2 linked regions of the Arabidopsis thaliana genome follow. The protein of the gene in region 2 interacts with the protein of the main gene of each other region in a pairwise test. Each region holds a gene or a part of one and is shown on either strand. Other genes may lie near its edges.

Region 1 (3,931 bases), on a different chromosome or scaffold from region 2:
ATTTTATCATACTTTTGCTTCTTGTCAACAGCCTTAAGACCCTGCCATGGAAGACTAGAAAAGGACGTTCATGAAATGAGGAACACAAAAAACAGTTAAGTAAATCTCTAAAAACAAGGAATAGAAATACCCTGCGAAATAACATAATGTTAACTAGTTTCTTTCAAAAAGACAACACACCTTCCTCTTAGGAAATACAGAAGCACATATCCCAGCGATTCTAGATCATCCCGTCGACTTTGCTCTGTGAAGAGAACCCAAAATATGAGCAAAAGCGATTTACTTTTACATAAGGATAAAGAATGCCAGCATTTCTTACCAATTCCAAGATGTGTATTGCAACTTGCATATCGTGCAGTTCCTGTTAAATTCTTGTTTTCCCTGAATATAGCCGAATAAAGGAAATAAGTTGTATAATGATTAACGTGACCGTAAAACTTAAAAACAGATAGATCATTTACAATCTGTATATTGAACCAAGGCCACAATACCTGTAAGGGATGTGGCGGTTGGTGTTGGCATCCCGATATCTTTTGGCAAGTCCAAAGTCAATTAGATAAACCTGAAAAATGAGACTTATCAATCATACCATACTCTACTTATGGCATCTGATGAAGATAAGAAGTTGCAGAAATATACCTGATTTGCTTTCCGACCTAGGCCCATGAGGAAGTTATCGGGTTTAATATCTCTATGCAGATATCCTTTCGAATGTACAAATTCTATTCTTGTTAGCTGTAACAGCGGGATAAGAAAATCGGAAGCACATTAGATAATCAATGTATAAGTCAACAGATATTATAAATAGCCTAATGAATAGTTGAAAGTCATGCCATACCATTTGATCAGCCAACATCAAGACTGTCTTTGGTGAGAATTTCCTCCCACAGTAGACGAAAAGATCTTCGAGACTTGGACCGAGCAAATCCATCACTAAAGCATTCTCTGTTCCATCAACTCCAAACCATTTTATGCGCGGAATTCCACCTGACACATAACATAAAAATTAGTATTGTACTGCTAATGAATCCCTCCAATGTCCAACAACTGAGAAAAGAGAGGAAAGAGAATCATACTTCCTCCTTCAAGAATTCTATATAGCTTAGCTTCATAGAGAAGTTGAGGATGCTTTGTTTTACTGTTCTCCTGCAAGAGAAAATGATTGAATTAAAAACAAGTGTTAGCTTGAAGAATATATTGCAGCTAAAAAGCACCGAGTTTAAAACCTTGCTCAATTTTAGAGTAAAGCAATTCAAACAAAATCAATTAAGAGACATAGCAGATCCAAATCAAATCTCCAGATTGGATGGATTCAATTCGTCTCAAGGCAAATTGAGCTGGGACTTACGATCTTAACAGCTACGATCTCGAAGGTATCGACGTGCGTAGCTGCGAAAACAACAAACAGAAGAGAAGAGCGTCAATTTCAAATAAAAAAGCAAACTCGGAAAACCAAAGGGACAAGAACAGAGGAGAACACAAAACCTAGAAAAATCTCTCCGAACGAACCACCGCCGATCTTCCGTCCGAGCTTGTACTTGCCGCCGATGATGCGTTCCATGGCAGCTCCAATCAGAACCGAATCTGGATCAAGCGCAAGGATAGAGATAAGGATTTAGGGTTGTTGTTTAGAAGATTGAAATTAGAGGAACTTAAAAACATATATTATTATTTTTGTTTGACTGACATCGGTGGTAGTGACATGGACCCAGGCTTGTTTGAGCCGTAGTAGTGATCCTTCAAAAAAAAATTTGTACACCTAACTACTGCACCATTTTGGGTCCGCCAATCTTTTTTTACCTTATAAACAAACACGAGGGTATTTACGTGATTTTGTAATGTCACGCTGGCACGGTGGATGATTTGATGATTTCCGTTTTTGGGGTCTGCAAAATGATGAAGGTTCGAAAATTTAATGGGTTGGCTGATTTTCGAGTCATAAACTATTTCGATTCTTAGTTTTCACTCCCGGATTTTTGGGCCCTTAAATTTCCACCATCAATTTTCATATTCCTCAAAATTACATCATCTACTTTCGAATTCATGATTAAACATACATTTTCAATTGAACCATTCATTTAACCGGGATTAACCACAAATCCGCGTTTACTGTACCGCGATTGTGATTAACCCGACTAATACCCAGACCCGTTAAGAAAACGACGTCGTTTTCATTCTTCTTCTTTAACTCTCAAATCGATTTGGTAGTCCTCTTCTTTTGACTTTCATCTCTGTCTCCATCGTCTTCTAGATTGACGTCTCCATCAGACGCTATGTCACCATCGTCTTCTCTATTTTCCTCTCCATCAGAAGCTCTGTCTCCATCTATCCCGACGTCCTCTCCCTCGATTCTGGTGGCTTCGTCCTCCTCGACTCCGCTATCACCACTATCACTTCCATCGTCGGCTTCAATGTCACTCTCTGGAGGTTCGAAATCGGGGTCATCTGGATCGCTTTGGTAAATCAATCTTTCCTCCCACCAATTCTTCATTTCTCCCTATTCGAAACCCAAATCGAGACCCAAAAATTCGAACCGAAGAAGAAAACCCCAAATCCCCTTTTGTCTTTCTCTCTCAAGAACCCTAATTTCACAGTGTCGAGATTAAAGAAGAACGACTAAATCGATTTGAGAGTTAAAGAAGAAGAATGAAAACGACGTCGTTTTCTTTCTCTTTTTGATGAGTTAAACGAAATGAAAACGACGTCGTTTTCTTAACGGGTCTGGGTATTAGTTGGGTTAATCGCAATCGCGGTACAGTAAACGCGGATTTGTGGTTAATCCCGGTTAAATGAATGGTTCAATTGGAAATGTATGTTTAAGCATGAATCCAAAAATAGATGATGTAATTTTGGGAATATGAAAGTTGATGGTGGAAATTTAAAGGCCCAAAAGTCCGGGTGTGAAAGCTGAGAATCGAAATAGTTTATGGCTCGAAAATCAGCCAACCCAAATTTAATCCACTAACTAGTTCTCTACCAAATCGATCAATTCTAGGTGTTTGTATTTCAATATTGAGACTACAATTTTATACGTTTTTTTTTTTTAATAATAGCAATTGAAAATGCATGTTTGGATCAAGTCAAGCTTTTTGATATAATTTTTTTCAATGCACAAAATCGAGTAAGAAAAATCAAACACAGAATACCATTAAACTGAATAGGAAATTCAGAGAAAAAAAAAGGGGGAAGTGTTTCTCGGAGCATTCCAGAAGCTAGCCATAGCTTATCCTTTTACGTTCTCGTCAGCTGCACATTAGCTTGATGGTGACATGTCCCTGCCACAAGCAACTCTTGACTCAAGCCTTTGAAGGCATCTCTGCTGAAGCTGCTCATGCTTTGCTCTTGATTTTCTGCAAACAATGTTGATGACACAGCAAACCCAGGTTATGCCCCAACACAGGGAACTACGTACAGAAATACGAACAAAGTTTTATAGAAGAAAACTTGGGAGAATGAATCACAAGAACCAAATTACACGCCCGGTTGCAAGATTTTATACAAAGGTTGAAGTCAGTCATTTGTGAGAATCTTGAAGGAAAGCAAACATAATCTTCATGCCTTTTGTCAAACAGTAAGCTGTTCATGGAAAAACTCCATTCAGATCTTCAACCTCAGTCTAGAGCTTTTCACTGCAGAAATCACAGTTTAGACCCAAAGGCACACATAATCTTGCTCAGCAGATCAGATGAATGATATACTCCAACTTTTTTTGCATCATTTCCCCGGTGACATGAATGGTGAAGTCCAACCGCCGGTTTTATTCCCGCTCCCAAACCCAGAATTTGAGGTTTCGGGTCTGACATTTCTTTTTGAGGTACCCGCAGGAGATAATGAAGTGGATGATGGCATGTTCATCTGCAATGGGTTTTCAGTAAAATAATGGTCAAGAGCATATTTCGTGATGATCAGTATCGTGTTTTAATCATTTATG
Region 2 (3,347 bases):
AATTTCTCTAGCAGTCAAAAGAATGTGCGGAGATAAGATATGGACCACTTTCTACTCTTGTATTTCCTACACCGTATGATTTGTCTTGTGGGAACACACTCGGTTCACACAAAACAAAGGTGGCCCTTGATCTGACCCAACACAAGAACTCGTATCCAACATTTTTTTACCAAATTCTCTCAAAAAACAAAAATAAAAAGCATTATTGGAAAAATATACTCTTGACAATAATGGAAAGTAAAATAACCTGGCCCCTTAATTAATGGCGGAGATGATGATAAATTAAAATTGATGGTAATGAATTTCTTTTATCATTAGTAATGATTTTTTTTTTTAATCCAAAATTAATTAGAACTCTTAATTAGAGTTCATAAGAGTCATTCCTGAAAAATGTTGTTTACATAAGTGATATGATGCGGTTGGACACGAACTTTATGTGCCAAATTATCCGTTTTGACATTTGCACTATTCGTAATAATTTTTGATATATATAAATTATATAATTATGATGTGAATTTTTGTGTGTTTTTTTGTTGAAATATTTATTTTTTGGTGTATTTGTTGAAAAAAAAAAAAAAAAAACTGAATCAAGAGAAACGAAAATGGTAGAAAATTTTCAATTAATCGGATTTGAAAAGTATATAGTAAAACTGACATTTTTGTTTATCTACATAAAAAGATCAAAATCTAAAGGAATCGAAAAAAGGAAATTTACGAAAGAAGAGGAACTCTAATAATTTGATCGGAATCTTGATCTTGATCTTGATCTTCTTCACCACAATCATAAACAGATCTAACCAAAACCAACTGATCTTCCAAGTATCTCTGAAGCAAACCAGCTTCTTCCGGTTCATCAAACCCGCCGCAACCACATCCTTCTTCACATCTCCGGAGCCTCAAATCATCTTCCTCGGCGGTGGATTTAGCAAACCAAGGATGACGACTACGGAGACGACTAAAGATCTCGACGGCGCAGAGGATTGGGATTGAGGCACAGAGGATTGGGATTAGTAATGGAGAACAGAGGAGAAAGAAAACGAAACGGCTCCGTCGTGTACGAAGCCAAAAGACGTCGGTCAACATAATGGTGACGACGGCGCGTGAAGAGTCATGGCTGGAGTAAATGGGGAGGAGAGGAGGTCGTGGGTTGTACGACACGACTTTGGTAAATGAGTGGGATCATGGAGAAGCTTCTTTGGCACATGACTTTGTTCTTTTTATTTGACTTTTTTATATACTTGTGTTTGGTTTTTGTCATGTGACTGTTTTTTACTTATTTACAAAATTTGATAAATCTGTTTGTTATATGAGCAAGACCAGTTTGGAGGAAAGTTATTATGAAATACAAAGAGTCGGAAAGTACAAGAACATTTCTGAAGACAGATAAGCTAACGAGTACAAAAACATTCCTGGAGACAAGATTAAAGAAGGTAAACAAAGGAGAAAAAACTCGAGCAAACAAACTACATAATATCTATCAATATTTCCCGAATCGGAATTTAGAAACTCAAAAAATATTTACAAAACTAAAACTAAAATTTAAAACAAATCTGAGACATACAAAACACACAAACAAATTACAATACAAAAAATCTCTTTTACCATAAGTTAGAACTGAATGAAAGTAGTCACGTGCGACCTTCATTGTAAAACTCCGGAGAAGAGCCATGGAGACGGTGGGACACATCCAAAACCTAGAGATTCAAATATCGTTTCTTATCTAGTTTTGTGCTGATTAGACTTATCTATTTTGGAGAAAAAAAATGTTATAACCCGAATTGGATTTTCTCTTTGAGAAAGTGTTAATAGATCGTGTTTGGATCAACCGTTTGATTGCGGTTAACGATTGTAAAATGCGATTATCAATTTCAAACGGAAGTTGAGAAGCTTAATTGATTTTAGTGATTTAGGTGGAATTATATACATTGGGAGAAAAATGGAATAGGGCATAGGCTGAAAGTATGGGAAATCCTAGTGGAAAAGCTAAATTACAGGGGGCCTCCTACAGCCCAAAAACATTAATCGGTATAAGTTTGATCATCGATCCAAAAAGGAAATCATTTTTGGACTATTGACCAAAAACAATATTATTTTGGAATTAATTATAAATTTAGAAATTAAAAAGGAAGATTATGAAAACTATCATATCTTTGAGTTTTCATTTGAAAACTACATTTTCTTTGTGTTTAATAAAACTTAATTTTTAATATCTAAATGACAGTTTTGTCCATATTTAAAATAAAAGTTGTTTACTTAATAAATTAAAACAATATTTAGAAAGAAAAAAAATCGTAATCTTAATTATTTTTTCAACTATTTTTGAGATAAAAACAGTTTATTTATTTTCTATATTAAAATTTAATTAGATAATATCTAAAAATATTTTAAAGTCTCTCACTTAAGATATTTTCAAGTGTTTGAAACACAATTTTGAATTTTCAATAGACAGGATCTTAGATTATTTTTTAATTTATTTTTCTTTTGTTTTAGGACGAAATTTTGTTTAAATATTTAAAATAGGAACGGTTATCTTTAAAAATGTAAAATATATTAAATATTAATTTAAAATTTAAAATTTATGGAAATTTTCAGTTTTAAGTTTAAATTCATTTTAATTATTATGAAATATTAATGAGGCAATTTTAGTAATTTTATATACTTAAATTTAGTTTTTAAAAGAGGAAAAAGGATAGGGTATTATTCAAATGAAAACTCAAAAAATAGGGCATTTTTGTTACAAGAAAATATTATTTTCTGCAAACATTATATAAAATTCTGTATTGTTGACATATCTTAAAACAATGATTCATTTCTATATAAATAAAATATAAATATTCAACCAAAATCATAATTATTTTTAGTAATTTGTGGTACAACAACAAAAATATTCGTAATCATCATAATCGAACATGCATAAACCAAGAGTTTCATGTGAGAACTCAGGCGGTCCACATCGACTCCTACATTCGTAGCTATCTCGGCACCGACCTCTGTAAACACACTCGCTAGGTCCAACTTGCATTCTTTTCACTACTATTAATCGCCAAAACAAATCAATAATAATCATTAGTTACTATATTTTTTCCAAGAAATTATGTATTAAATATCGTCTACGAATTTGAAAAGAGAGACATGTATAGCAAAAGTTTAGGTGAAAAGAGAGAAAAATTTGACATAACAACAACAACAAAAACTGAGAGAGAAGAAAAATATAGAAAATATTTACTTTTTGATTGGCAAGAAAATAGGAGAGTATATGTGATTAGAAGAGCTACTAGTTGAAACTTTGACAAAGCCATTTAGTTTGATTTTTTTTTCTTTGTTGTTGGTGTGAAGTTGTTTTTAAA

The links.
Region 1: the proteins of AT1G35430 (region 2) and ckl3 interact in a two-hybrid assay, tested with the Arabidopsis thaliana proteins (one large-scale study listed by BioGRID).

Annotation. Positions count from the first base shown.
Region 1 is NC_003075.7:14,248,981-14,252,911, reverse strand, and holds the start of ckl3 (casein kinase I-like 3), read right to left. Parts: upstream 1,778-3,931; 5' UTR 1,562-1,777; coding exon 1,486-1,561; intron 1,390-1,485; coding exon 1,349-1,389; intron 1,147-1,348; coding exon 1,077-1,146; intron 988-1,076; coding exon 839-987; intron 736-838; coding exon 640-735; intron 563-639; coding exon 492-562; intron 382-491; coding exon 320-381; intron 245-319; coding exon 181-244; intron 55-180; coding exon 1-54. Other genes in the region: AT4G28870 (mutator transposase MUDRA protein), read right to left, coding at 2,192-2,491; ckl4 (casein kinase I-like 4), read right to left, coding at 3,715-3,855. UniProt on the Arabidopsis thaliana protein: Protein kinase involved in blue light responses (e.g. hypocotyl elongation and flowering) by phosphorylating CRY2 to reduce its stability.
Region 2 is NC_003070.9:13,029,949-13,033,295, forward strand, and holds AT1G35430 (uncharacterized protein), read right to left. Parts: upstream 1,428-3,347; 5' UTR 1,084-1,427; coding exon 712-1,083; 3' UTR 605-711; downstream 1-604. Other genes in the region: AT1G35435 (Putative membrane lipoprotein), read right to left, coding at 2,858-3,033, 3,227-3,299.